Regions from separate parts of the Mus musculus genome. Here region 1 is reported to be linked to region 2. The links are microRNA targets in miRTarBase. Many come from high-throughput screens and were not tested one by one. Region 2 holds a microRNA gene; the other region holds the end of a gene's coding sequence.
What was found. Region 2 holds the annotated microRNA mmu-miR-710 (CCAAGUCUUGGGGAGAGUUGAG, at 8,091-8,112, shown strand). A microRNA usually pairs through its seed, bases 2 to 8, with sites in the 3' UTR of a target mRNA and lowers its output. Matches are read on the target gene's strand: a 7mer-m8 pairs with bases 2 to 8, a 7mer-A1 pairs with bases 2 to 7 and ends in A, and an 8mer does both.

Region 1 (15,922 bases), not on the chromosome of region 2:
CCAGTGCTGGGATTATAAGTACACCACCATGCTCAGCTCTTTTTCCCCCTCTACATGGGTTTTGGAGATTGAACTCAGGTCCTCGAGCACTGTACCAATTGCATTCCAGTGTTTCCAGAGCACTGCCTAAAATTGGGTTCTTGAGACCCCCTTCCTCAGGGCCAAGCCATTTGCTAGAGCATCTTGTTAAATGTGCAGACAAACACTAGATACCCTGAGGCTTGTTATAAAGGATAGTTCTAAGGATGCAGATGAGCAGTCAGAGTCTCAGGAGGGTGGACAGTGGAGGTGGGGTGCTGCTCGCCCAGGGATCGGAAAGTTCATTCTTGATTCCCTTCTTGTAATCCAAGCGCACAGTTGTCATGGCGTAGACATGGACTGCGGTGTGAAGATGCAATTGAGCAGACAGAGTGTGTTCTCATGCTGATGGACAGGATGGGGAAGTCTGGAAAGCCTTTCTGTTCAGACGCTTCCTGGTCTCTCTCTCTGTAGCGTACTTTCCTCAAGTCGTTGGATCCTGCCTTTCAGAAACAGGGCTCTTATGGTCATTTACAAGACGAGATCAGTCAGAGAGTTTATGGCCAGCTCCAGGTCAGAAGTGGGAGAAACATGAAAGGCTATACCTCCGAGGAGGAGGTTCTGGTTTCAGTGACCTACCTGTGACTGTGGGCATGAGCCTGGAATCCAAGATGAAACATGCGTGGTAACCTTATGTTAGTTGCTTTTTTCCCTCACTGTGACAAAGCAACTTCAGGATTCACTTTGGCTCACTGAGAGTGCAGTCCGTTTGGCAGGGAAGGTGGCAGGAGAGAGGCAGCTGACACTTTGTATCCGCAGTGAAGCAGAGAGAGGTGAATGCTGATACCCAGCTTACTGTTGCTTTTTCATTCCGTCTGGGATGGAAGGCGGTGGGATTGTGCTGCTTCTGTTTGGGTGGGTCTTCCCTCTTCAGTTAAACTTTTCTGGAAACTCCCTCCCAGCTATGCCCAGTAGAATTTTTCCATGGTGATCCTAAGTTTAGTCATGTGGACAAGACTGACTGCCACAGTACCATTACATTCAGTAGCAGATGTGTAAATTGGTTTTTATTGTCTAAAGGTGGGTACTGCACTCAACTATGTGCTGGCATGTGTTGCATGGAACTCAAAAATATATAAATAAATAAATACAAACAGAAACCAAGTGATGAGATTTCCCATGTGTGGGGGATAGTTTTATGTCAACTCGATACAAGCTAAAGTTATCTGAATGGAGGGAACCTCAACTGAGAAAATGCTTCCATAAGATCTGGCTATGGGACATCTTCTTAATTAGTGGTTGATGTGGGAAGGCCAAGCCTATTGCAGGTGGGGCCATCCCTGGCCTGTTGTTCTATAAGAAAGCAGGCTGAGCAAGCCATGGGGAGCAAGCCAGTAAGCAGTATGCCTCCATGGCTTCTGTCTCTAGGTTCTTGCCCTGTCCTGACTTCCTCCATGATGAACAGGTGAGTGCCGTGGAGGCCTAAGCTGAGTCGTCCTTCCCTCCCTAAGTTTCTTTGGTTGTGCTGTTTCATCACAGAAATAGTAACCCTAAGATACCACGTATGGAATTCATGAGGGCTCTTTTAGATCAATATCTTGGTCTTATTCAATGCCCTTAATAAGTAATTATCTGTATGTAGAAATGCTTCTTTCAAAATAACTTAGTGTGTATGTGTCCATGTGTGTACATGTGTGTTGCAGCCATAAGTCAATATCAGGTATCTCACCTATCAATCTCTGCCTTGCTTTTTGACATGCGATCTCCCACTGAACCAAGAGCTCTCTGATTTGGCTAGACTGGGCAACTAGCAATCCCAAAGACCCTCAGTCATCTATCTCCTAGTCCTGGGATTACATGTATGCACCATCCAATCTGGCTTTTAAAAAAACCAAAAAACCAAAAAACATGTGCTCGAAAGTTAAACACTAGTTCTCATCCTTGCCTAGCAAACACTTTACAAGTTTAACCCCATTTAAAAATAATTTTTATTTTCTCCCTCTCTGAGGACATCTAGTGGGCACATTGAGAAATGCAGCCTCTCTATCTCCAAACCCTGTGTTAGTCAGGACTGGGGTTCATTCCCAGCAGCTCCAGTTTGTTAGCCAGGATCCCCTTCTCTAGCTAAGCACAGGTGATGAGTAACTGTCCTGGCTGCCCATACTTCTGGCAGATGGTACTGAGATCTTGGGGTCCCAGTTACGGAATCTGCAAGCAGGCCAAAGTGTTTTTCAACGTGGCCTGATGGAACCTGGGTTTGGGATTTTTCAGCAGAAATAAAAAAGAATATCCATGCTTGTCCTTGTGGAAGGCTGACCTTAAGTTTGGAAGCCACAGGATGCAGCTTGGCGTACGCTGTGTACTCTGAGCTCCTGCTTAGGTGGTGTGGGTCAGATCACCAGAGTCAGGCAGAGCTGCACTTGGTGACAGGAACATAGGGCTGAGTGTTAGAAACTGACGCAGGGAAGTAAGTAACATTATTCATTGAGTTCATTAAAATTATAACAATTGAAGGCACACATTATGTATTTGGGACATGGGTGGTCTCACGTGACCTAGGCTGGCCTTGATGCAGCCAAGGCTACTCTTTAACTCTCGAGCCTCCTGCTTCTAGTACTGTAAGTCCAGTGCTGAGATGATGAAGGGCAAACAGTACCATGTGGGGTCCTAGAAACAGATTTTTCTGAAGTGTCCAAGTTCAGCATTTAAATATTAGTACCTCATTTACAAAACTAGTAACATTTCTATAAAAGCAAGGACACTTGGCAGGCATAGTGGTGCATGCATGCCTATAATCCCAGCACTTGGAAAACACAGGCAAGTGTTTCTCTCTGAATTCAAGGCCGGTTTTGTCTATATACATGAGTTCCAGGTCAGCCAAGGCTAGGTAGAGAGATCCACCCTCAAATAAATAAAATCCTTTTCTTTCCCTCACTTTGTGGACACACCATGAGAAACGCTTATGCGCAGGCTGAACCTCCCCCCACCCCGTGTAAAACGCCCAATGACGAAAGTCTAGATCTGGGTTCTAGAACCTTCATGTTACCCAGAGCAGGCCGGCGCTCACGCTCTCCGTCTTCTACCCTCAGGTTTCTCCTGATGTACTCCACAGCTCTTTGCAGTTATTACAACTCAGCTCTGACCACAGCGGTGGTTGGAGCGATCAAGGTAAGAGATGGAGCCTTGCGCTTAACACCAGGGTGGGAACCAGATGGAAACCATGTGCTGAAAGCTACTTTTTGCTGAGGCTGTGACTCTAGGGGGCGCTGTGTAACCCTGCTGCTGATCTTGAGTGAAGTTGCTAACCCCCAAAAGAAAGTGTTTTATTACTTTAAAATTGGAGGCAGGTGAGGGCATAATTTGGGAAAAACAAGTAACAACTGGAAAGAAAAATCAAATATCTGTGATCACTTCGTTATCTGGAATTAGTTTTGCTGGGAGGACCTGCCCACTAAGAAGACAAATCCTTCTGAAGGAATGTTTTTAGTACTTCCACTCTATGATAAAGCAGTGACATTGGATTGGTAGGTTGGTGCAAAGGAGTTTGTGTCTGCCTGTGTGCATTTGAGGACACAACTATTGAACAGAGAGTGGTGGTGGTCTGAATTCTAGTCCACACTATTTTTCTCTTCACGTAAGCTCCTAAAGTGAGTGAGAAAACCTTACTTGCTCCACCCGGTGGCTTCCTCAAATGGCTTGCATAGAGTTCTACTTAGAACTTAGCTGCCTGCCCTATTCAGGTTAGGGGTGATAGGGTTAGAATTTGGTGTGCCAGTGATGATATAAAGATGGAAGCAGCAAGCAAGCAAGTTACAGCTGTACTGTCCCACCTATTGCCTGGAACTCGGGGAGGGTGAACAGTACAGTTTTCAGTAACTACATTTTAGTTATAAAATGTATTTGCTTATAAAGCCATATGTCATTAGGTATTCCATGCAAGCCTCTATGCAAAGTAACCCAGCATCAGGCCTCAGGTGTCACGTGTCTGCCTTTGCCCTGAAGTTCCTTACTCTTCAATGATGAGCCCCCTCTCTTTGCAGAATGTATCGGTTGCCTACATTGGGATGTTGGTTGGTGGAGACTACATTTTCTCCCTCTTAAACTTTATAGGGTTAAATATTTGGTAAGTGAGACTTTTAAATGAACTCACAGTAAATAAGGGATTTAACATGATCACTTGGTATATAATAAGCAAAAAAATCAAAGAGAAATGGTTTTACTAGTTGCCACGCTCAGGATGGAACCAGGGCCATGTGCATGCCAGGCGAGTAAGTGTTCTGCCACTGAGCTGCATCCCCTGCTCCAGGCCTGTTGTATTTGTGACCTTCATTTTTTTCACGTGGTCTCTGGGGACATGTGTCATAAAGAATCTCAGGGCTTAGGCCTAAATTCAGTTCAAACATCTTCCTCCCACTGTGTGGATCTCATTACCTGTAGCCTTTTGAAGGGCTGCGTCTCAAGGATGCTGTTGGCACCCTGATGTTTTTAAACACACTTTTGGGTTCTAGGCCTGGGTGTTAGTTGTACAATCATTACACTTTACTTTATCCAGTAAAAATCGAGCACTCGCTTTCTTTTCCTGTCTCCAAACATTTGCAGAGAAGAAATTTCTCAATCTACCTACCAACCTGTGAGGGAAAAAACCCCCAGAGATCTTAATAGTTGTGTTGAAATCAAGCTGACTGCAGTTATATTGTATTACATTAACAGTGCCCATAGGATTTTTTTTAACCCCTTTCTCTTCTCTCTTCAGCATGGCAGGTGGTTTAAGATATTCCTTTTTAACACTCAGCAGCCAGTTGAAACCTAAACAACCTGTGGATGAAGAAAGCATCCCTCTGGATCTGAAGAGCTAGGCTGAAGACAGAGTTGCAGGCCTAGGCTGGAAAGAGCAGCCTCAGCAGGAGTGGGTAGACCAGAGGTCCCACACATGGGGCAGTCACCTGCTTGGTCAGAGCACAAAAAGGAATGTCTTCGAAATACAAAGAAAGCTACCTCACACGTCACTGCACAATGAGCCACGAGGAACCCACGACTCACAGTACAAAACCTTCCAACTAAGTGAATTTGCTAAAGTCATCCACAGGGCCCTCACTATGTGCTGGGGAAGATGTTTCAAGGGTGACTTTGCTTATCAGCACTGTGGCCTTAATTTTAAAGGCCTCATCCAAGGAAAAAGGGAAAACTTTTTGTTGTTGAACCATCTCTTTGTCTTTGTAAGAGTCATTCAGTTTTGAATGTGTTGGTATTTTTTTTCCAGGTCATTACAGTGAAATAAAGTCCTGTCTATATATGCCGCACAGTGTGATATTACAGTATGATAGAAAATAGTTAGTTATTCAGTGTCCAGGAATATTCCTGGGGTTGAGGTGTATAGAGTGCTCACTGTACTCAGGAGACAAATGAGTTTGATCTCTGCACTCATATAAAAAGTCAGGCATGGAGCATATCAATTATCTCAGCTTTGGGTAGCAGAGACAGACATGTCCTGAGACTCTGGCTTGCCAGCCAGTCTTAAATGGCAAGCATCAGGTTCAGTGAGAGACACTGTCTCAAAGAATAGGATGGAGAGTGACTGAGGAAGACACCCATCATTAGCCTCCGGTCTCCACATACACATGCACACACATACATACATGTGTGCACACATTACTCCATCTTTTTTTTTAAAAAGATTTTATTTATTTATTATATGTAAGTACACTGTAGCTGTCTTTAGATCTCATTACGGGTGGTTGTGAGCCACCATGTGGTTGCTGGGACTTGAACTCAGGACCTCCAGAAGAGCAGTCATTGCTCTTAACTGCTGAGCCATCTCACCAGCCCACATTACTCCATCTTGAAGGAACAACAAGATAGCCTTTTAAGGACAAGTGTTGGAAAAACTTTGCAAAAACCCAAAGCCATCAGTTCATCTCCGTAGTCTTAGACATTTGAATGTGTGGTCCCTGGTTGGGTGGCATTGCTGGAGGAAATGTGTCCCTGGGGTGGGCTCTGAGGTTTCAAAGTCTCCATCCATTTCAGGTTTGCTTGCTCAGTTTCTTGTTTGTGGTTTGACGAGCTCTCAGCTGTTCCTGCCACACTGATCTCTCTGGAACTGTAAGCCCAAATAAACTCTTCTATACATTGACTTGGTTATGGTTTTTGGTTTTTTTTGTTTTTGTTTATCACAACAGAGAAGTAACTAGTACAAATGGCTCATCTGTCTTGTTCTGCCCAGCTCCCTCCAGGTTTGTTCAAGGGATTTTGAAAGTTAGATGTGTGTGATAAGTACTTACAGAGTTAACTCCCCAGCCCTGCCAGCAACATCTAGGTTTCTAGAAGTAGAGCCAGAGGTGGTAGCAACTGAAAGAATGTTTCCAACTACTTAATACATGTGTGTGTGTGTGTGTGTGTGTGACAGAAAGAGACAGAGACAGACAGACACAGAGAGACAGACAGACAGACAGACAGAGTATGCACCATGACTATGGCAGTAAGAAGAAAACTTTGTGGAGTTAGCTTTCAAGTTCTTTCACTTTTCTGTAGGTTCTAGGGATTGAACTTGGGTCAAGTGCCTCTTCCCACTGCCCTCTTGTCAGACCAATGACAGCCTCACTGTGTAGTCTGGCTCTGTTGGTATGATGAAATACCCTGATAAAAGCAACTTAGTGGAGAAGCACTTTGTTTTGGCTTACAGGTCTAGGGAACAGTCCACTCTGAGGAGACAGTCATGATGGCAGGAGCTTGAGCTTGTCATGTGTCCATAGTCAAGGAGCAGAGAGCGATGGATGGAGGTATATGGCTTGCTCGCTCCTTTTTACAAAGTCTGGTACTATAACCCATGGAGGGGTGCCATTCATATTCAGAGTGGGTCTTCCCACCTCAATTACCTTAATCTAGATGATCCCTCACGGGCACGCCTTGTCTCCCAGTTGACTCTAGATCAACGTTGAGAACCAAGTTGACAATGTTAATGGTCTCAGAATCCTGTTTTGCTTACTTGCTCACCTGTTGACGGACCCTTGGGATATTTCCATCTTCAGGCTTCTGTGAATGATGCCACTGTAAATATAGAAGTACAAGTACATCTCCAAAGCCCTGATCACAATCACAGCACTCAGGAGGTTGAGGCCAGTGTGAGCTGTGCTGAGTTCAAGGCCAGCCTGGGCAGCATGCCTCAAAAAGTAGAAGATCCTGCTCTCAATTATTTGGGATTTATACATAGTAGTAGAGTTCTGATCTTATCTTTTTTCAAGATAGGTTTTTTTTTTTTTTTCTGTGTAGCCCCAGCTGTCCTGGAACTCACTGTGAAGACCAGGCTAGCCTTGAACTCTGAGATATGCCTGCCTCTACCTTCTGTGTCCTGGGATTAAAAGTGTATGCCAACATACCCAGCTGTAGTTCTAATTTATTGAGGACCTGATATATTGTACTTTTCCATAGCTACTGTCTCCTCATCTTTCACAACATACATTAAAAAAAATTTTTTTTATTAGTAACCATCTTTATAGAGGTTTGGCTTAGACCTTCCTTCCTTCCTTCCTTCCTTCCTTCCTTCCTTCCTTCCTTCCTTCCTTCCTTCCTTTCCTTTCCTTTCCTTCCTTCCTTCTTCCCTCTCCCTTCCTCCCTCCTTTCTCTCTCTTTCTTCCTTTCTTCCTCCCTCTCCCCATCTCTTTCTTCTTTCTTTCTTTCTTTCTTTCTTTCTTTCTTTCTTTCTTTCTTTCTTTCTTTCTTTCTTTCTTTCTTTTCTTTTCTTTTCTTTTTTAAAAAAGATTTATTTATTATATGTAACTACACTGTAGCCGTCTTCAAACACTCCAGAAGAGGGCGTCAGATCTCGTTACGGATGGTTATGAGCCACCATGTGGTTGCTGGGATTTGAACTCCGGACCTTCGGAAGAGCAGTCTGGAAGAGCAGTCGAGTGCTCTTACCCACTGAGCCCCAGCCCCCTCCCTCTTTCTTTCTCTCTTTCTTTCTTTCTCTCTCTCTCTCTCTCTCTCTCTCTCTCTCTCTCTCTCTCTCTCTCTCTCTCTTTCCTTCCTTCCTTCCTTCCTTCCTCCTTCCTTCCTTCCTCCCTCCCTCCCTCCCTCCCTCCCTCCCTCCCTCCCTCCCTCCCTCCCTCCCTCCCTCCCTCCCTCCCTCTTTCTTTCTTCCTTCCTTCCTTCCTTCCTTCCTTCCTTCCTTCCTTCCTTCCTTCCTTCCTTCCTTCCTTTCTTTCTTTCTTTCTTTCTTTCTTTCTTTCTTTCTTTCTTTCTTTCTTTCTTTCTTTCTTTCTTTCTTTCTTTCTTTCAGAGAGGGACTCTATCTAGTCCTGGCTGGCTCGAAACTCCCTATGTAGCCTCAAACTCACAGAGATCTGTTTGCCTCAAAATTCCTAATGCCGAGATTAAAAGCATGCACCACCAGGCCTGACTCTCCATTTCTTAATAATGTTGCCTCTTTTGTTACTACTACAATTTAGAGTGTTTTGTTTTAGAGACAAGGTCTCTGGTCAAGGATGGTTGAATTTATGATCTCCTCTTCCATCACACAGTGCCGGGACTAGTTACGTGCTTCTACCCCTGGTTTATGTGGCTATCAAATCTAGGACTCATGTCTGTTAGTTGGGCACTCTTCCAACTGAACAGCACTCTTTACTTTTTAAGACTTCTAGAACATGACATCGGGGGCTCCCAGACTATTGTTAGAACATCCTTTAGTGTCTCTTCTGAAACCCTGAGACCAGAAACCACTCACTTAGAGAAGTGAAAAACAGTTTTTGCTGTCTTTCAAAGTTGTTTTCCTTATCTCTAAGTTTGATTCTTGGAATTCTTTCAGAAATGATTTTAAGACTTTTCCTCCTCTTCCACATTTGGCCAGCAGAGGGCACCCTAAGAGCAGCATTTGTATCTGGTTGGAAAGTAACCCTTTTCACTCTAGAAAGGTACCTAGGAAATGGAATCTCCAATCAGTGTTCTGAATTACGGTAGGGAGTGGGGTGTTGAGTGCATGAGGTGGCAGTAACTTCAGCTGAGGAATTGCCTCTATTGGACACTTCTGGGAAGCACATTCTTAGCTTTGGGTAAAGATACTTGCTCCACAAATCTGAAGAACTGAGTTTGCTCCTCAGAACCTATGGTGGAAGGAACAAACTGGATACTAAAGGCTGTCCTCTGACCTCGACATTAGCTCCAGAGACACTTGGGCCCCTTCCTTTGGCTATCAGACTATTAAAAGAGTGATCCTCAGCGAATTAGAATTTCCCTGGGAATCACATGTTGGAGAGGAAAAAGCTGAAGCCAGCCAGAGGAATTTGTCTCCCAGGAAGAGATTTTACGCATATATAAGATGAGGACCGACTTGCCCTGGGCAAACTCTCTGAGACATTATTCTGAGCGCTGGGCAGAGTGGTGGTCTCACACACTAGTTAGGCCACCTTGCAGGATAGACTAGAGCCCAGACAATGATGTGTCCAGGCTGGGCAGGATCACTACGTAACCAGGACTTCTTACCTATGTGTAATCCTTGCTCTCTACTTAAGAGTAAACCTGCTGGAACTGCTGAGATCAGCCGGGGAACAGTGGAATGAAGAGGCTTTGAGGATTCCTGGCTTAGCCCCACTTCCTGTTCTCTGTCTCTCTCCAGTTCTCACCCAGTGTGTGAATAAAGTGTGATCAGTCTGCTTCCTGACTGCCAGGCTAGTATCACACTCCTGCCTGTACGTTTTCCCTGCCATGATGAACCACAGCATCCCGTCTGGAACTGTAAGCCAGAACAAACCCTTTCGTCTCTGGATTTCCTTTTGCCAGGGAATTTTTATCACAGTACCGGAGAAGTAGCTAATACAGGCTTCACGTGAATTGTGTGATTTCAAACATTTGCGATGTCCGAAAGAAAACACAATGTCCATAAAAAGAAAAGAGTCCTGGCTTAGTTATGGTTTCCATTGCTGTGATTAAACACCACGACCAAAGACATTTGGGGAGGAAAGGGTTTATTTAGCTTACTCTTCCACATCACTGCCTGTCATCAAGGAAGCCAGGACAAGAACACAGAAAGGACAGGAACCTGGAGACAGGAGCTGATGCACATGCCATGGAGGGGTGCTGCTGACTGGCTTGCTGCCTAAGGTTGCTCGATCGGCTTTCTTGAAGAACCCAAGGTCACCAGCTTAGGGATGGCCCCATCTACAATGGGCTGGGTCCTCCCCCATCAATAACTAATTAAGAAAATGCCTTACAGGCCTGCCTGCAGCCTGGTCTTATGAAGGCATTTTAATGGAGTCTCCCTCTTCTCAGATGACTTTAGTGTGTGTCAAGTTGATGTAAGACTATCCAGGACAAATCCCAGAGAGCTCTTCAAAGGAGCTGACACTGCTCGAAACAATTTGGAAGAAACACTCAGGGACACTCTTGAAAGTTGTGCTTCTTTTTATTTAGAACAACAAGCCAAATCATAGGCCTTGAGCTTTGCAGGGGAAACCAGAGAAAATACAGCTAAGAAGAGGTTTCTTAATGTCTGAACAAATTGGTCTCAGTCAGAAATGAAATGATTCAAGCCAATAAGCATAGCACAATTATAAAGTACGGCAGTCACCTGGAAACTGGAGCTGGAGTGTGTGGGGGGGCATTTTATACCAAAAGACACAGAAAGTTTGTAGCAAAAAGCAGGAGCGATGTGTGGCGTGCACACCTCTAATCCCAGCTGTTCCAGAGGCTAAAAGAGTGATTCAGAGCACTAGTGAAACAGTTCTTTGAAAAGTTAAAATTGGCCAACCCTGAGACAAATTAAGCAAAAAGAGGGAAGACCTCACAATTTAAAATTAGACAAAAAGGGGATGTTAAGCAGATATCACTAAAACCCAGAGGATTATTGAGATTTTATATTCTGATGAATTATAAAACCTAGAAAAAAATGAAAAAAAAAAACTTTAGACACATGCTGTTTCACCTACAGAGTTGAACCAAGAGAATATAAGCAATCCAAAAAAATGCCAGTGAGCGATGAGACTGGAGGGGTAATCGTCTCCTGACAAAGAACATCAAAGTACTAGCTGGGTTTCGTGCTGAATTGTACCGTATCTCTAAATGCACACCATCCCACCAAATCGGGAGGGAAGGAATGCTTCTAAACTCATGGCAAGAAGCTAGCTCCACTCTGATGCCAAAACTGGGTGGTGATGTCACACAAACAAGCTATAGACAATTTCCCTGATGAACACATATTCAAAAATCCTCAGTAAACGACAGATTAAGATGGTAAAACCGCAGGAGCCAGAAGGTTTCACTCCAGGGGTGCTGAGATAATTCAGTGGGTTCAAATGAATTAATGTAATACAGCATGGTAGTGGAATGAAGACAAATTGCATAATCATTTCAACGGACATAGAAATGCTCTTGACATGGGCTGGAGAGATGGCTCAGCGGGTAAGAGCACTGACTGCTGAGTTCAAATCCTAGCAACCACATCGTGGCTCACAGCCATCCTTAATGAGATCTGATGCCCTCTTACGGTGTGTTTGAAGACAGCTACAGTGTACTTAGATATAATAATAAATTAATTAATTAAAAAAAAGAAATGTTTTTGACAAAATTCAACATCCTTCAGGGCTGAAAACCACAATTAGGAGCAGCAGGATCAGACCTCCCCACGCTGACACCTGTCTGTGAGAACCCAGCAGTGAATATTATACCAAATGGGGAAAAGCAGAAAAGATTTCTTCTAAACCAGAGATGAGAAAGAACGTCTACTTGGTCTACTAATTAGTGATCACAATAAGGTCCTGAGCTATGTTCTAGTATTTTCTTCCTTCTTTCCTTTTGTTTTCTTCCCCCAGATAGTCTCAAGTAGCCCAGGCTGTCCTTAAATCACAACATAGCCTAGGCTGTCCTTGAATTCACAACGTAGCCAGTAATAACCTTGAATTTCTGGTCTTCCTACTTCCACTTCTCGAATGCTGTGATTACAGCTGTGTGCCCCATGCCTGGTTTATGCAGTGCAAATGATCAAACATAGGTTTTTGTGTGTGCTAGGCAAACACTCCACCAACGGAGCTATGTATTTAACCCTGGAAAGTATGGTCTAAAAGTGAGTTTATCCTTTTTGCTTTACTTTTGGTGTTAATGAGTTATTGGGTCATCGTTTTGGCAACAGTAAATTCCTCGAAGGCCTAAGTGGCTTGGAAACTTTGAGTGTCTAGTAGAGCTTCCTGCATGAACATATATGTAAATCAGGAATAGTACCAGGAATAGCTGGTGTAGTTCAGGAGATAAATTTTTAAATTAAGTTATATTAAATTTAAATATAACCATATATAGTGTTGGTGGCTACTGTGTTGTTTCTCCAATGTCTTTTCTACTTCTTGTCCGGGAGTATCACACAAAGTTTAATATTTAACAGCTCATAATCAATTTACTAAAATGATTAGCTCAAGCTCAGGTGTTTGCAATGGTGACTTTAATATCTATCTATCTATCTATCTATCTATCTATCTATCTATCTATCTATATCTATCCATATACATACATATACATGTATATATATACATACATATACATGTATATATATATACATACATACATATACATGTGTGTGTGTGTATATATATATATATATATCTTAGTTTGTATAATTTTTTTTGTTTGTATGTTTTCAGGGCTGACCATTTGGTATTAGATAATCAATTGGTGTGCTCTTCCCTGGGGAAGAGTCCTTATTAGTTGCTTATAGTTCTTGTGTAGGGTTGAGGCCTAGTGGACTATCCCAGGCTTACTTTGGCAATGCCTACTGATGTTGTCCTTGTTTTGCCAGTCATGCTGGGTGAGACTTTATGGTGTAGCTTTTGACATTAGTAAGGAAAGACTCTTTCCAAGTGGCCAGTGTTTTCCTCTGAACACTGCCTTCCCATGGGACTGCAGGACTTCCCACAGGCTCCATCGCCTCCCACATCCCCACCACGCAGGGGATCAGGCTTTTAATGCAGAGACCTCCTTTGGAGATCAAGTCACAAGACCAAGTCTCTTTGGAGACTCCCAGAGTGCTCTGTTTCCTCTCTCTGGGTTTCACTTGTCTTCAAGTCTACTGTCTTCTTTACCCAGTACCTCCACAGCCACAGAAGCCCTAACCATGCTGTAAAGATATTATTAAGAATACTTGATTCAGATGCCTGCGAATCACAAGGTTACATAAAGAAGTTCCTCTAATCTAAATGCTCCCAGATACATGGAACACACCCAGAGCCTCCTCAGAGGAGATCTGGCGGGCACCCAGGCCACTTGCCCTGGGAATCACACGGGGATAAAGACCAGGTCCAGCAGCATCTCCAGCAAGACAGCTCCAGAGGAGGCCATGGAGAAGCTCTTCATTGCTGCAGGGCTCTTCGTGGGCCTGGTTTGCCTGGTGAAGTGCATGAGGTTCTCGCAGCACCTTTTTCTGAGGTTCTGCAAGGCTTTGCCAAGCTCTTTCCTGCGATCAATGGGACAATGGGCAGGTAAGAAGATTCTCCCAGTCTTATTCTCTTATTCTTACGTCTCAGAATGCCTCTGTGACTCCGCACAACATGTAATGGTGTGACTAGACAGCATGTGTGGAACTAGAACTGTCTGGAAAATCAAGGTATGGATCAGGAGATGGGGAAGGGGACTGCCCCCCAGGTTTCCCTCGTGTCTGTTGCTTTGCTAGATTTACTTCTTTTTGGAGTCTTTCTAATAATACCAATAATAAACCAGGCAGAGGTACCGAGTTCTCACCTATAGATTTCCAGATTTCTAAACTCTTGGCTGGTGTGCTTACATTTTATTAAAGGGAGTTTCAAAAAATTTTTTAATCCAAATGTTAATTTATTTTTTTAAAAATGCATTCTGTGCCTCTATTCACTAAACTTGGCAACTTTGTAAACTTTCTCATGGATTTTTTTTTTTTTAATGACCATATGAGAATTGTTTAGGATGGACCCATGGATTTCTAACGGATGCTTCTTACACTTCCACTGCGTATGCACACGTGTACATACGTGTGTATGAATATATGGTATGTACACACGTGTGTTTGCTGCTTTTATTACTTACTAAGCCACTGAGCTTGTGTATTCTGGATCTGAATACCCTACCAGGCACAGTCAAATGCCCGAGTATCTGTGCAGCTAGAACCCTGCACAGCTGCCGCCCATGAAATGCCCGAGTATCTGTGCAGCTAGAACTCTGCATAGCTGCTGCCCACGTAGCCCTTCTAAGAACACTCCCCAAAGAGCAGTTAAGATGCAGCCAGAAACTCTGTGGCTTCAAAGTGAGAGGTACAATGTTAGCTTGTTTGAGAGTTAGGAATGAATAAGATAACCATGAGGAAATATGCGATGTCGTCAGGAACAGACAAACCAGGGAGGGAACAGATTTCACATAGAGAACAGGAAACTCTGGGAACAAGGCTGGAAGATACCCAGAGAAAAAGTATACTGATATCTATGCTCAATAAACGTGAATCTTTTTGTTATTTTTAAATAAAAATAGTGGGTTTTAATGAACATTTTAAAAACTGTGTCTAAAAAAAAATGTGTGCCCTTTAATGCTTGGTGCCAAGGTCAGCTGCAGGTAGGTATATTTGTGGTGACTTGTGAAACTTGTAATTGTGGTCGTCTGTCTCCAATTTTGGAAACGAAGGGCTTGAAAGCCTATGAAATTGTTGGGTACTAGTAGATAGTGGTATTGGGGGCTAACTATCCAAGGTCCTCAGGTCCCTGCATCCCCCATACACATTCCTGTATCCTCTTTGCCAGGTTCCCTATCTTCCAAGGCATTGAGGGCCACGGACCTATGGGGTGAAGGAGGGGAGGGGCCAGATTGCACTTCTCAGAAGGAACCCTGAGGTGTTCTTAGGGTGAGCAATGGGCAGGAATGAAGCAATGACAGTGTACATGCTTGCCCTTGAGTTGCTAAGGTTGTACTGCCCCAAGCCTGGATAAAATACTTGTTGGCTTAGTGCTTGGCTACATTTCATAGTGTGTTTTCTAGACTCACAGATCCCTCCAAAAGCGCGCACACACACCCCCACCTACACACACACACACACCCCAAAGACAAAACAGAAAAGCCCTTCACCCTTCACTTGCAGTGTTCTAACCAGGTTACCAAAGGCTGGAAACCTTGGAGTGGAGCAACGTGGCTTTGTGGTATTGAGCATTCTAGACAGAGATATACAAGAGACTGCGAGAGAGAGGCTTGAAGATGTGTCCTCTTGTTTCAAGGCTGCCACTGTTTCTTTCAGTGATTACCGGAGCAGGCGATGGCATCGGGAAAGCCTATTCATTTGAGGTGAGGTGGCTCCTTTTTGTGGTATGGATTTTGGAGACCGGTTCTTGCCATGTCTCACAGGCTGACCTCAAATGGATCTAGGTAGCTTTCTAGGTAGCTGAGACTACAGGTGAGTTCCACCAGCCTAGCTTTGAAGCTACCCTCCAGGCAACGATCCCTCCCTTGTGATAAGCATCCACCCTACCCAACACTTTCCTGTGTACAAAGATTATAGACATTCATTTAAAAAGTAAAATACCGGGGCTGGAGAGGTGGCTCAGCGGGTAAGAGCACTGACTGCTCTTCCGAAGGTCCTGAGTTCAAATCCCAGCAACCACATGGTGGCTCACAACCACCTGTGATGAGGTCTGACGCCCTCTTCTGGTGCATCTGAAGACAGCTACGGTGTACTTACATATAATAATAAATAAATAAATCTTTAAAAAATAGATGAAAAAGTAAAATACCTTTAGTATGAGAGTAGACTGAAAAAGATCATAATCCCATCCCTTAGACACTTAAAAAAAGGTTTATTTTATAGGTGTTCATGTTTGTGTGTTTATATGTGTATGCCACTTACATACCCAGAAGAGGGCATCAGATCCCTTTGAGCTGGTGTTACAGGTGATTGTGAGCCACCAATGTGGTGGCGCACGCC
Region 2 (15,922 bases):
TGACATTATTTATAGGTATTTGTAATCATGAAATTTTAAGAGTGCGGGAAAAGCAATCAATGGCTATTGTCCAAGTTGATTAAAAGTAAACCAATTTCACATAAAACTACCTTTCCACTCAGGCTTTAACAGAGCTAAGGCTGGCTACGGCTGTGGAGGGAGATAGTGGAGTGCTTGCTTGAGCTCTGAAATAAAGTGGCAAAATGTAATTATTGACTTTGCTTTGGATTTCCTGTTAAGATGAAAATTATTCAAAAATGTTTTTTTTTCTGTGTTAAAAAATGTGTTTTGAAAAAATGACTATTGACATTAAAGTGACTGGTCATCCCCCACCTCCATCCCTTCCTTCATTTTGCAACCTGGTAGAAATAGGGAGCTTTCAAAAGAAAAACAGAAGCACATTTTTTCTTGTTCTGTGTTTGTCTCAGTTCTGCATTAATCATGAACTATAATAAAACATAAGCAGCATCTGATTTTCAGTAAGCAGTTATTGTGCTGTATGTCAGCATCGTCGTAAGCGCTGGAGGTTGGATGTCAGGGAAACCTGATGAAGTGAGTCCGGAGGGAGCACAAAGGTGACACGAAGTGGCATGTAAATATGTATGAAGTTGCCTCCGCAATGTAACATGTACTCTGGGGGATAAGAAAACTGTAAGGTGGACTTCATGGGAATGGGTAAGCCACGTATTGTTAGGGGACCACGAGACTCTTCTTCCAAGCCTGGTGAGGACTACACTGAGATGCTTAAATAACCTCAGCTATAACTCTTTACTGATGATAGTGAAGATGATATAAAGAAATGCTGTTCTGTGTGCTCATTTGATTTGATCATGCTTAGCTTTAAGTGATTTAAATAATTCAAATGTATTTAAATGTGCAAAACTCTGTTTTAATTAGGGAAAACAGACTTCAGTGATGGTGAAATGATTTTCTATTGATTAAAAACATTCATTTTTTTGTTTCAGCTTTAAAGTTAGTCATATAAATAATTCCATCACCTCTTTTTTTTGGTGTGTGTGTGTCTGTGTGTGTGTCTGTGTGTATCTCTGTGTTTCTCTGTGTGTGTGTGTGTCTGTGTGTGTATCTCTGTGTGTGTCTCTGTGTGTGTGTATCTGTGAGTGTGTGTCTCTGTGTGTGTGTATCTGTGTGTGTGTGTCTCTGTGTGTGTGTGTGTGTGTGTGTGTGTGAGTATCTGTGTGTGTGTATCTCTGTGTGTGTGTGTGTGTGTGTGTATCTGTACACTTGTGGTGCAGGTACACTTGTCTCTGTGTGCACATATGGAGTCCGAAGGTTGATGTTGGGTGCTCTACTTGGTCTCAGTATGTCTTTTCTAGGAATCAGTCTCTCTCTTTTAAGAAGCAAAGTATACTGGTTGATCAGCAAGACTCATGGATATACCTGTTTACAGTTGCCTTATGCAACACCAAGGTTAGGGTGTGAGGGACCAGACAAGGTTTTATGTGGGTGCTGGGTATCCAAACTCATGTCCTTATGTTTGGACAGCAAGCATTTACCCATTGAACTGTCTCTCCACCTCCAACCCTATCATTCTGGATAGATGCACTACAGCTAAGGCATATAACATACTGATGGAGGACACTGGCTATGAGTAATTAACTTGGGAGACTAGGCAACAGTTACAAATTGAAGTTTTCCTTTTGACCAATTCAGACTTTATCCAAGGGGGAGGTGACATGACTGACTGGTGGATTGTGTTTTTGGTCTAGGATCACTCTAGTAGAAGTTGTGGAAGAGAAGGGAGGGAAAATATTGGTGGTGGTGGTGGGGTGAAGTCGTAGGAGGTTTTTTTATATGAGAGACAAAGAGAATCTAAAATAAGGGCATAGACAGGTCAATGGGACCACAAGAAGAATATAAGGTCTAGAGAGGAGAATTGAACATGTGAGATTTGAAGTGAGGTATGGAAAGTTCAGGTCTTTGGCTTGGGGAACAAAGTGAATGGGAAAGTCATTAAGTCTTGGAATGAGGAGGCTCAAAATCAGGAAAAATATATGAACTCATCTCTGTACAGTGTTTGAAGTGTTGAACAGATCAGTCTTGGATATGGTTTGCAGACATATTGTTGGCTGAGAAACACATTTGTTGAAAAAGTTGAGCAGGTAGAAGAAAGAAAAGCATTAGAGTGCAGGTTAGTGCTGAGGTCACAGAAGGTCAATGTGTCACATCACTCCTCCCCTGTAGACTCCAGATCCAACGTGGAACTAGACACAGCAGTCACTTGGTCTTGGAAATGGTCTTACTGGTAACAGTGCCTGAAGAATAGCACTTGAGTTTTTATTTAAAACCATTTTACTAACATTTCATCCACTAACTGGTATTGTTAATGGTTTTCAAAGCAGAAGTGAACAGAAGGATAAGTTAGACCTCTGCACGAGGACAGAGGTTCTTTTTATCAGACTTGCCAATGAAATACACCATTCTTATTTCCATGGGGAGGAGTGAGGAGGTGATGAGAAAAACCAGCGGCATTGCTCCACCTGCAGTTCCTATACTGCAAACAAGGCCAGCAGAAATGGTCTCTTGAGAGCATGTATTTGAGAGGATAGCAAAGGAAGTGGGTGCAGAGCAATACAGTGCTGGTGCTGATGCTGCAGGCTATGACAACCACTTGAATGTGCTGCACACTCACTGTGTCCCAGGAGCACTCTAAAGCTCTTTATAATCATCAGCTTGTATGAGTCATCTTGAGGGGTAGGTAGGGAAACTAGGTTGAGAAATGGAGACACAGCTGAGTGGCAGAATCCAGATCTGAATTGAGACAGTATGGTTCAAAAACTGGTTCTGGAAAAAATAATACTGCAAGAAGGGAGGTGTGAAGATGAAGATAGCACACACACACACACACACACACACACTGAGTAATATATATTTATTAAAAATATAATATATATATATAAATATAAATGTATGTAAATATATTTACTACAACAGTAAAGAAGTTAATGTGGTATTTAGTTGAACACTTTAATATACAGAGTCAATTGATTTATTATTGTATCTTTGTTTTATTATAAAAGGCTGAGCATAGCACTCTCATATATGTTTCAACAGTAAGTTAATGTTGTTTGGGATATTTAATGGACTACATAAAAATTTATTGCTTATAAGGAGCTCTAATTAATTAATTAATTAATTATTAATCCCAGATGTGTTCCTTACACTTGTACATCCTGTGTGAGTTGAGCTGTAGCTATGAAGAGATTGGATCTTGCTTTTACCTTAAGGAATTAAATTGAGTCCTCAGTCTTCATGTCTTCTATGTGGGGGCTCACTTTATATTATCTTCACATAGATTCCACAGTCATATTTGGAAGGTGTGGTCAGTCCTGAACCTTTAGAGTTTGCTGGAGACACTTTTAGTCTTCTCACTGTCAGCAGGGATGCGAGGATATGCATCATCCCAGGAACCCAGGTTCCTAGATATTTCTGCTGGGAAAAACATAGGAAGTGGGTTAGACATTCCCATTAATTTTATAAAATACCTCTTTTAAAGAATGCTGTAGCTCAAATTACACATCTTCCACATAATACCTAGACATTTTCACAATGAGCTGTGTGCTGGCCAGATATGCTTAAACCTTTGACTCATTGAAAGCACAGTTCTAATGAGCTCAGTGTGGTAAGATTTTCCTAAACTGAAATATGGTATATCCTCTTTCTTAAGTGCTGTCTCTCTGGGTCTGTGTGTTGTAGTGTGGTTATCCTCTAATTAACAGGTACATTCATTTATAAGTAGGTGTATACCATGTTTGGGTCTGGGTTATCTCATTTGCTGGCAAATATCTTGGTGTCATATATATATATATATATATATATATATATATATATATATATATATTAGCAGTTGAGTAATACTTCATTAGGTACATGTGCCACATTTTCTTTATCCATCTTTCAGTTGAGGGACATCTAGGTTGTTTACAGTTTCTGGTTATTATGAATGAAACTGCTATGAACATAGTGGGGCAGGCATCCTTGTGGTAGGATGAAGCATCCTTTGGATATATACCTCTATTCCTATGTTAATCCTACTGATCCATGAGTGTGGGAGATTTTTCCATCATCTGGTATCTTCTTCAATTTCTTTTTAAAAAGATTTGAAGTTTTGGTCATACAAGTCGAAAATGACTTTTAAGGCATTTATAATTTATAGTATTTTGTGTCTCTGAAGCTTGACCATACATAAATGCAAATTTTAAAAATTTTAAAATACTTTCCCTTATTTGTCAGATGATAATTTGTAGACAATGACTACTTCTGACCAAATAAAATTGAGTAACTGTGTATTACATAGGTTTTTGGAAGGGTACATGAAAGACTGTTATGGCTGTGGTAAGAATGTTAGAATTAAAAACTGCTTGTTCTCTCATTTTATATGGACTTCACCACTGTGCATTCAACTCCAGGCTTTTATTAGATACCATTCGATTTGTCATTAAATATAGTGTTATGAGTAGTCATTCAATTAGTTAGTGTAATCCAATAGCCCTCTTCTACAAGTAAGAGTATACTTAAATTCACAAAACCAGTCTGTTTCTGAACATAAAGACCCTTAAGAGACCTCGCTGTCAAAGTTTAAATGATCCAATGTAAACAAAGTGCTAATTACCATCACAAAATGATGGGTTTGCTTCTGGCTCTTAATATGGGGAGAGTACCCATGTGTAACTGTATAGCTCCTACCTGGCATTGCCATAGAATCTCTTAAGTTGCTGTCAAGGCAGAGTTTCTGGAGAAAAGCCACAAGTACAGAGTGTTGTCCTATTTGCCAATTCAGGAGCCAAATAAGCCACATTTCTTCCAACGGAGAAGAAGGAGGAAGAGGTGGAGAGAGAACAGTCATGTTGCTTTAGGGTAAATACCTTTAGATGGAAACATGAAGACAGAAGGTGTGTTTTATCGGGGTGGAGGGAGAAAAAATAGAGCAAGATGATGATGGTGATGATGGTGGTGGTGGTGGTGGTTGTGACAGTGACCATGATGGTGAGGATATCCATATCTTTAGAGTTACAAAACACTGATTTCTGTGGAAAGTAAAACCCAAACAGAGGAATAATGACGTAGTTCTACCTTCTCTTCTCTGTGCCTATCCCTCAATTTGGTAGACAGTACAGGGTAGTTTAAAATTTTCTGGTATGAGAGTCACAGACCTAGCTATGCATCTCTAGCCTTTGAATTTTAACTGGAGAAGGGAATGGATCTTGTGCTAAGATTTTAACCTGTTTTACTTCATCCATAGTAGCAATTCTAAATCCAAAAACCATTCTTCCTCCTTCTCACAGGGTGGCAAGAGGTAGTTTGTCTTATTCAGTTTTCTTGTGTGTATTACAGTTATCTCTCACAATCTTTATATTCTAATTTTCCACCATGGCCTTTTAGGCTACACAACTTCTTCAAATCCTGGGTCTTCCTAGTGAAAGCCAGGGCGTGTTCTGTAACTCTAAAGATACAGTTCTCTTTTGGTTCTGGGTTCTGTTCTCCCTCTAAAATGATGAATATCTCAGCCCTGTCAAGGGAATATGTATTAGCAAGCATTATCAGGCAGGAAATGATTGGATGACATTTCACAGTGTGTGACTGATACTGATGGAACTCTGTGAAAAACAATATCCCTTCCGTTTTTACTCCCTGAATAGAAGCCAGTGACGGTTACTTCCTGATGAATAGTACGTCAGTGTCTCTGCCAAACACTAAGCCTACACAACTGCCTTCATGTAGTTCTTGATGGCACACACTACATTCAAACATAATGATAATACATGTATTATGATTTTATATATGTGAGTATGTGTGTGTGTGTGTGTGTGTGTGTGTGTTGAGTATATACCTAGAAGAATAAAATAGAGATTGGACCTTGAGTTCTGAATATGTTAAGCAAGTGTTGTATCAGTGAGCTGGACCCCAGTCCCTTAGTTTGGGTTCATTCATATTAGCCAAAGTGTGTGGTTAAGGTTCTTGATTCATCCTCCAAAAGGACACAGGAACATTCTTGCTTTATGTAGTTGGCCTAATTCACTCAGTGCCTATTATGACAAAATAGAATAGGTCTAAGGTCTATTTAGCAAAACACAAATTTTTGTGTTTTGTAAACTACTAGTAAAACTTTTGAATGTAATGCCATGTAGTGGTTCAAAAAGGACTACAGAGAATTCCTTTTGACTTTCAGAAGCCTTTTGCAGTCACTTCCTGGCTATGTGATGAGCACTTACCAACATAATTAATTCTCCTGGCAAGGAGTTAGTTCAGGCAGTGACTTGCACATCTGAGATCTACATTAGGAAAAGGGTTTTAGGAGTGAAGCGTGTGAAATCTCACATCGAGCTGGCCTTCCTTTCTGGATACACACCTGTCAGCTGTAAGCCTGGGCCTTGGGCCAGTTTCAGACGCTGCTAGCTACAGGTTTGCGGGGCCAGCCAGGGTCACTGGGAATCCACATCCCACACATACGTTGCTGATACTCCTACATTGGACCTGCATTTCTCCTGCTCTTAGTTGAAGTGAAGGCATATGTCCTTCTATAGTCACTCTGAAACTTCCAGAAGTAAAATTCCAGCTCTCTGCTCCTAGACCATCGTGGGCACATCTTTATAGGTTTTGATGAATTACCAGCATTGTTTCATGTTCCTTCTCTTCCTTGGCTCGTGGGACCCATGAGGAAGTATCTTGATGCTCCCATATTTAGTTCTGAGCCTTGTATTCGCTATCAGTAGGGTTGGGAAAATAAGGGGCTCTCCACTTACCATCAGGATGTAGCTTTTATAAAATCTCACAACTTTTCCATATGGAAATGTCATTTCTCTACCAGGTTAGATGTGATTTTAGGATGCCATTTAAGTTATTTTTTATTAACCTATAAGAATATGATATCTTCTGTCTGTGTTACATAATGAATTCAAGGCAAGCCTGGGCTATGTGGTGAAAAAACAGTCTTAAGGAATCTGGAACCTAACCAAACTACCATCACCGACAAAGGTTAATATTAATAGTCTAAATATCCAACCTGCGCTGTTGCCTAGTTGGAATTTGTTCTCTGGTGAGTTTAACAAGCAGAAACAAAACAAAACAAAACAAAACAAAAAAACTCATTTCTTTCATATTTCTTTAGGAAGCAAGAAATACAAATCTTCCTTAGTACTTGTGCCCTTATGAAACCAAAGAAGTAAGGACTTCATCCTCTCAGCGCAGCACTTTACAATTATCAATAATGCAAATGACTCCTGGAAGAACATTCTGCAAGGCCTTTGGTAAGCATTTCCACTAGAATCCCATCAGTTTGCATTTCAGGGAATCACCATGACTGTGAGGTGTCTATTCTATTTTGCTGAATTCCCTTCTACATGGTCATTCCCTGTGGTCCTTCATCTTCATCTTCCCCTTTCTTTCATTTCTTCCTCTCTTTTTTTCTGACTCCCTTTCTCACCACCATCTGACCCAAGAATCTTGATTGACCACACTGGTTGTAGAGTGATACCTTAGTTGCTTTGTGGCACACCTGTGCCCCCTACCATGGGCTGCTCGCCGTTTTGCAAATGTTTTCTTTTTTCCCTTTGTAAGTGATACTGTGCCCTGCCCTTTATGGGCAACTTCCTTACTTGCAGAAACCTCATTTTGGTAACTCTAGTAGGCTTTTACTTCCCTGGGTATTTCTGAGCTGAATTTTGGCCAACTGCATCTTACGAAGTCAGCAGGTTTCTTCCAAATATTATCATTAAGTGTTTCCTGTGTGAAATCCTGTCCTTTCCAATGTACTTGGAAGAAGGAAATAGAAAAAATAACATGGGTATTTATATAGGATCTTTTCTTTTTTACAGCCAATTGCTTTTAGACAACTTCAGTGAGAGCAAGGAGCTGATAGGAGCTGGGCAAATAGCATCGGAGATGGTTGAAGTCTTTCCCAATGTTCCACAGGGACCAATCTGGCTTGTGTAACCTCCATAAACTGTTTGAGTTAATTCCCTTGGTGTCACTGATCCAGATTAAGTTTTTAGAATTTGAAGCACTAATATGCTCTACGTATGGAGAAATACAAAGTACTCTAACCACTCCTTATCTCTCTCGTCAAATAGAAGCCAAGTCTTGGGGAGAGTTGAGCTTGGTGTGAAAACTGACATACCCCTTCAACTCTTTAGAACTTAGGTATCTGAAGTGGAGTGGATGGAGTAGTTCCTAAAAATAAAAGGTAGGATCCACATGTAAGAAAAAACATGGACCTTAGGCTCTCAGAGCCTGGATTCCCTCCATTAATATAATATTTTCTAAGAAATGGAACAGAAACTTTTAAGTGGGTATAATGTGGTAAGAAAGAGCCAAGGAACAATTGGAAAGAAATTTTAGATTCAAGCTATTATTAAAAAGGAAAAAGAAATGTTGAATATGGGACATGAAAGTCAACATGAAAAGTTGATTTTTGAAATTTAAGTAACTCTGGGAAAACTAGAATATGCCTTCCCTTCAGTTTTCATTGCATTTTATGAAAATTATATATAAATATAAGTGATATATACACCACTCCCAAAAACTTTTATTATAGGTAAGAGATGTATTTATTTAAGCCATTTATTAGGTCATTTCTTTTACTTTATTATATTCACGTTTGAGATAATTTTGAAAATTACTAATGTGATTAACTTTTATTATGTTATCATATAAGCAAGCTTTGTCCTATTTTTCTTCTGAGTCATTTGAAGAAAATTAAGATTTATTATGTTAGTGAAACAAAGAGGAAGAATGCAAACTCCTTACGCGTTTGACATGCAAAATAGAATTCTAAAGTAAGACTATTTATTTTCTTCTTCCATGAGGGGCTTGCTGAGTTTATTTTCTCCTTTTAAGCTATTATAATCCAGTCCTGGAAGAACTGCTTCATAGGTTTTTATAACTGTGTAGAGAAAATATATCTGTAAGAGTAGATTAAAGAAAAGGAGACTAGAACACGGGATTCCATCCCTTCCAAGCCCTGTTTATGGTAAAATCAGTGTGCAGATGGAAGACATCGTTCTTGGGTTTACAGATCCTGATTTGCCTGCTGTAAGGAAAAGCAGTGAGGACTCTGTAGAAGAGGGTCAAGGAATTTTAATCCAGCAACATGGCTGCTCTTACCACATCAAAAGAACTTTTAGGTCTGTGTGATCTGGCTAGAATACAGACACACTCTTAGTATACATCTTTATTCCTTTTGGCTGGAATCCTTTAGTACATATCTTTAATCCCAAATAATGATGTCCAATTTGAGGGGCAGACAAAGTGAGGAATCCCAGAAAGATTTGACAAAATGAGTCCGAGATAGGATACGCCCAACTGTCAGGAGAAAAGCTATTTAAGATCAGTGTGCGCGCATGAGACACACACACACACACACACACACACACACACACACACACACACAGAGAGAGAGAGAGAGAGAGAGAGAGAGAGAGAGAGAGAGAGAGAGAAGAATTAGAGAGAGAGAGAGAGAGAGAGAGAGAGAGAGAGAGAGAAGAGTTAGAGTTCAGACAGTTTGGTCAGTCAGTTGAGAGTCAGTGCAGTGAGTGCAGTGCACTGGAGTTGAGTTCCTTTGTGAGCTCATGCAGCTCAGAGCAGATCAGCAGAGGCCGTTGAAGTCAGAAAATATGAAAGAGTCAGAAGATTAGAACAAATTGCCAGAGTCAGTTTAAGACCAAGAAGAGCAATTCAGTGAGAAGCCAAGAGAAGCCAGATTGAATCAGTCAGCTTGGAGAGGAGTTTGAGCCAGAACAGCTGGGTTGAACCAGCCAGTCAGAGCTTAGAAAGAACTAGGAAGGAGTGAGCTTTTTCAGTAGTAAACCTTCTAAATTACAGTTACATCAGGTGAATGATTCTTGTGGACTTTAGGGGAAGTTTCAACCTTCAACCTAGCTCTTAAGTGACAGAGATGGAGTCTGATAAGCAGCTGAGGGTATGGATGAGAACACTGTGGATGAGGTAGCCATATGTTATGGCTGCAAAGCAGGTTGCACAGAGCTAGCCAGGATGCGAATCTCAGACAGTCTTCAGAGGGACTAGTGAATCGGCGGGTCTTGGTATAAAGTGTCTCTAGGAGTGTGTCTGAAATAGAAATATTCGCTTTTATGATGGCTTGCTTGTTGAGATTCAAGGCTACATGATATCTAACTTCATTAAAAACTGGTATAAGATACTGGTATAAGCAGTAAGATACTGGTATCTCAAAGCACTCCAATCCTTAGATATCACTATTATTACACTTATTAGGTAGCACTTATTGTTAACTATGTTGGGGTTTTTTTCTTCTTTTTATATATGCTTACTGTCCCCTCCAGGAGGAAGAACAGATTTATGTCTTGATCTTCCCATTTCTATTTTCTGAGCTGTAACTCTTTTTCCTTTCAACTATAAGAGGACTCTGTCATAAGAGTCCTAATGTAGTCCCTATACTTTCTGTTACTTGATAAACTAACATTAAAGTGTCACAGTATTTTACTTTACATGGAGATATTTACATTTAGCATGTGTAGAGCTCAACATTAAAATCAAAGAGAGAAAACAATAGCAGACTGAGATTTCTTCAGCATTTAAACAAAGAATTAGGAGGGTGTTTTTCTCTCAAAACTCAGCACATAGGCATATATTTCAGTGGGGGGAATGCAGCACCTAGCAAATGGTTATTTATTCCAGACCACAGGAATTCCCATTATTTCAAAGTTTTCGTTTTCTAGGAGATGGAAGGTATTTGTCTGGGCAGCTGTATTCCAGGATATACAGGGCTAGCCAAACGTCAGGGAATCAGTGCCGAGCATAAAGCAGGAAAGGAAAAGATCTGACCAGAGGGGAGTGCATTAACCCTGGTCCGCTCCAAGGTGGTTTGCAGATGGGATGTCATCAAGATTCTGCACTAGTGAATCCTTGATGAGGAGCAGAAATCAATACCATCAATCTAGTGGTGGGTGAAGGGAGCCTAGGGCTTTGGGATATTTTGGACTACATCTTTAAATATCTTTAACGATTACTCAGATAAAGTCTGGATACGTTTATGAATGTGTGAATTACATTAATTTTGTACAAAGTGCAAATCTGTGCCTATCTGATCTTTGTTGATTGTGAAAGACAAATGTCAGTCTAAATTTCTCCAATGTAATTATAAGGTTAATAAATAGAGTAGGAAGGGTAACAGGGTTGCTAAGTTAACTAAATATTTAACATTAATAAGTAGGTAGATGATATTTCTGGACTATAATTACAAAAATATATTTATTATGAGTCAAAGCAGAGAGATCATAGAACATGATACAAGGGTCTCAAATATAACATCTAGTAAGCAATTAGTACATTACAATTTAAGTATCTAACAACATGTTTTTAGGACAGTATACCTTACAAACGAGACTCTCTATATAAGCTTTGATATTCTAGATTTAAATTGTGAGTCAGACTCTTGTTGGCTGAATAAACTTAGGCAAGTAACTTAAATTTCATGAGATATTCTCTTCAGCAATAATAATGGTAACAGTTATTAATAATAAATTATTCTTTAGAATGTATATTTAATTTACAGAGAGGAAATTGACTAGGGAGTCAAGAGAGACCTACTCTTCCTGCATTTAGAATAGAGAAACACACACACAGACACACACACACAGACACACACACACACACACACAGACACACACACACAGACACACACACAGGAAAAATTCATAAAAGTTCATTCAGAAGTGACCAAAGTTGGTAAGTGATACATAGAACAAAAGTGCAGAAAGAAGAGGACTAGATAACATTGGCTGTAGGAAGATTTTTTATTTTAGATAGTGATATTTAAGAAAATCCTGGAGAAAATAAAGGTCTAAGCCAACTTAATGTTAAAATAGAAAGGGGTAATGCAAGAACAAAAGTCTTATAGTAAGGACACTCTTCATGTGTCTTGGCAATCCTAAGACTCACTGGCTACACGTAAGTGAGCGAGGATGTCTGATGTAGCAGGATATAAGAACAAAGAGGGAAACAGATATTCTAAAGCAGCTGTTCTCAACCTGTAGGTCATGATCCTTTAGGCATGCAAGAACCCTTTCACAGGGGTTGCCGAAGACCATCAGAAAACAGATATTTACATCACAATTCGTAATAATAGCAAAATTACAGTTATGAAGTAGTAATGGAAATAATTTTATGGTTGAGTGGTCACCACAACATGAGGAAGTGTATTAAAGAATAGCAGCCTTAGGAGGTTCAGAACCACTATTCTAAAGCCTTGCAGATAATCTGTCGGACTTGGCTTTCCTGTTACTGAAATGGGTTGCAATTAGAATGCTGTGTTAGGATTTCTTGTATTTTAGCAAGGCCACTTAGGCTGATACACTGAGAGAGACTCTAAAGGGACACCCATTAAGGCTATGAAGTCCTGTTAGGAGACTGTTTCAATAATCTACACAGAAGGTGCTGTTGTTGGCAGAGAAATAGAAAGTCTAGTTGGTAGGGGCCCAGCAGCAGCTTGGTGTCCTGACAGATGGGTGGGTATTTTAATAGGAAGAGAGATTTCAATGCAGGCAGAAGATGGAGTCCATATGCACAAAAATAGGGCAGATGGGCTGAGAGGGAAGATGAAGCACTTAGGTTTAGGATATTAGTCTTAATTGCCTGTTAGACATTCATAAGTGAAGTTATGGAGTAGGTGTTTGGGTGTATGGATCTGGAGTTCAACAGAAATGTCCCAGCTAGGGATATAAATTTGCAAATTGCCAGCCCTACAGATGATGTATAAAACCAGGATGTCGGATGAGATCATCAAAGGAGTGAGCATAGAAAGAGAAACCTCAGCCTCAGCATACATCAACATTAATATGTTGAAGAAAAGAGGGCCGATAATAATAGGGAGTCAGAAAGAGTGGCCAGGGAGATAAGAGGAAAGTCAGGCAAAATCAGTTTGCCAGACATTAAGTAAATAAAATGTGAATGAGAAAGGAATGAAAAATAGTCTCAATCCCTGCTTGAAGCTAAGTTAAAAAAAATAAATTCTAGGAGTTGAAAATTATTTTTTGTTATTTAAATTTTTGAATTAAAATTTGTATGTGTGCATGGATTCCTTCACACACATATGTGTGTATCAGCTGTATGCCTTGTATGGTGAAAGCCAGAAGAAGGCATCAGGTCTCACAGAACTGGAATTAAAAATGGTTATGAGCAGCGTAATGTGGGTGCTGGGAACTGTACCAGGGTCTTTGGCAAGAACATCAAGTACACTTTACTATTATCCCTCCTCTAGCATTGCTTCTTATAACTGTGTGCACCATTGAGAGGTGGGCTCAAAGAATGAAAGAGAAAATAGCATTTTGTAGTAGAAGAAAGATGAGAAATGGAGCAAGGTAGAGATGTATATGGACTCAAGCAAAGTTCTTAGTTTAATAAGAGAAATAACACACTGATATGGTATAGGAAAAGGTTCATGTAAGAAGTAAATGGGAAGGACCATGGAGCAAAGCAGCAAAGCTTTCAAGTGGATGGGAGGAAATAAGAGATAAGAGTACTACATGGAGTATTTGGGTTTTGGGAAGACAATGGCAGTTGGTTTGAAGTTATGTAGTAGAGGGAACAGGATCAACAGATTCACACAGCTTGGGGGGGAGGTGTATAAGTTTATGATGTCTTATCTGATCTATTCTGTTTTCTAAAAACAAGATGAAGCTGGGATAGCTTAGAAGAGTAAAGGAGGGATGGTCCAAAGAAATGCAGAGGGCTTCTGGTAAGCAACTAGACTCCTGTGGTGTTCAAACAACTGCCTCCAATATGCACACATTCTAGGAGTGTCCAACCTATGGTGTAAGCCTGAGATACAGTGGTCTGCATGCCCACCTTGAGAGCTACAAGTCTGGCTCGATATATCTGTAGTCCAAAAATCATATAATAATGTCATGAAAAGCCCAGAAGATTTGGAGATATATACATGGATATATTATAATGAATGATCATGAACTTCAAACTAATGATAGAAGTGAACATGCAAAAGGTGGACAGGGAGGATCATGACAGTGGCTAAGATTGGAGGATTATTACCTTTGACAGTGGGTCAAAGGTCACAGAGCAGAGCTGAGAACAAAAGGAAAAAACTTGAAAGAGAAAAAATGGCAGTTAGTGATGTCAGTTTAGCTGTGAAGACAGGTAAAAAGAGCTTTTTTTGTTTTTGTTTTTGTTTTTGAGAGAGGGTTTCTCTGTGTAGCCCTGGCTGTCCTGGAACTCACTCTGTAGACCAGGCTGGCCTCAAACTCAGAGATCCACCTACCTCTGCCTCTTAAGTGCTGGGATTAAAGGTGTGTGCCACCACTGTCCGGCGAGCTTATATTTTCTTATTCAAAGAAGTTTAATTAAAGTATTGAAAATGGAAAGTGGCAAGCTCCAAGTCTTTCCTGTTTAGGAAAACATATTCTCACTGTTCCCTGGAGAGTGTATTATATAGTATGGTTGATAATCAAAATCAGCAAAGACTGATGTAAGCCAGAAAGATTTGGAATGACTCGGGTGTGGGGATGAGCAAATATGAAGACAAACATGGAATCTATATGCTTTGTGGTCCAAGTACTGGGTGGAAAGTAGTACTGTGGTTTCCTACAAGAAGAGAGCAAACAAAGTTGCACTGGCCTGCTGCTCAGTGGCAGAGATTTGTTTTTAAAAGCGCATAAATAGGGAATTTCATCACATGAACAGCATGGCGAGCACATACACAAACATACTTGATTACCGTCCTACACGCATGGGTTGTGGGGTATACCAGTTGTTCCTAGCATACACGGTTACCCTCTTATATACATATATGGTAGCCAGCTCTTTCTAGTAGCAGAATGAATGGAACAACCAGTTCAACAGGAAGCTGACTAAAGCTCAAGGGAAACCACTGTGCACCAGCAATACAATAAGCACGAGGTGCAAAGGCTATTCTAGCATAATGTGGCGGCATTCTGTTTTACAACCAACTTGTTTCGTGGGCAAAACCAAGCAATAAGGTAACAGTTAAATATGTGTGAATCTATTTAGTTAATAGCAAGTAAAAGAATACATAATGGTAGGTAGAGAGAGGCAGCAGATAGCAAAACATCTTCGAATCCCATGTTCACACTCTCTTGCAGAGATGATTGAAGTTGCTCAATTGAGCGAGCAAACAAAGGGGGAACATCTTCAAACTAGGGGCTTACAAAGATCCAGCAGAAGTAGCCCAGGCTATCCTGAATTACTGTCACCTGGATTTCCTGAATGAGACTACATCCTGATCAGAACAGAGTGTGGCCTCAGGTGAGGCTTTCAAGCAAAATAACAAATAACACCAGATAGGTACAATCGGGTCTGGTACTCGCAACATCCAGCAAAAACTGGAGAAGTCGAGGCAGTCAGCTGGAGCTCTCACTTGAGCTTCGCCTTGGAAGATGAGTTTCCTATGGATGAATTTGCCACTATCCTCCCCTCTTTCACAACATGAGCAGCCTCTGTTAGAGATCGTTTGCACGATAGCTATTCTTAAGGACATAATGTTGTTAATACCATTAGCAGCTTTTCTGTTCTCTTTCCTCCCTGTAACAGATTGAGGGGTAGGTAGCCCATCTGTAGACAAGTGGCATTCAAAGATAGTTTGGGACAAACATGCTTAGGTCTGAAGCTAGATTTTCAGCAAGCTCAAGCAGCACATGGCAATTCGAAATGGAAGTTTCTGGACATGTCAGGTGATGCAGACTCACGTGGCATTTTGTTGAGGCAAGGCTGTGGGAGGACACATCATGTTTGGAGAGAGTATAAACAGGTCTCAAGGGACAATGACAGCATGCTTGCATAGCTACCTTTACAACTCTTTGGGGGGTCTCATGTCTTTGCTGATCTTTACTTCTTAAGAGAGGCAAGGCAGAGAACTTCTCCTGGTGGAGCAGCTGATTCTGGTTGCTCCTATAAAGGC

Region 1: miRTarBase lists Slc35d2 as a target of mmu-miR-710. Seed matches in the 3' UTR shown: 7mer-A1 at 5,779-5,785.

Annotation. Positions count from the first base shown.
Region 1 is chr13:64,086,534-64,102,455 of GRCm38, reverse strand. It overlaps Slc35d2 (solute carrier family 35, member D2), which reads left to right. Exons shown (of 12, transcript NM_001001321.3): 10 at 3,108-3,186; 11 at 4,059-4,141; 12 at 4,772-6,146. The coding sequence ends at 4,874. Hsd17b3 (hydroxysteroid (17-beta) dehydrogenase 3) reads left to right here and starts at 13,255. Exons shown (of 11, transcript NM_008291.3): 1 at 13,255-13,469; 2 at 15,239-15,285. The coding sequence starts at 13,328.
Region 2 is chr8:64,506,591-64,522,512 of GRCm38, reverse strand. It overlaps Mir710 (microRNA 710), which reads left to right and starts at 8,072; the gene lies at 8,072-8,181.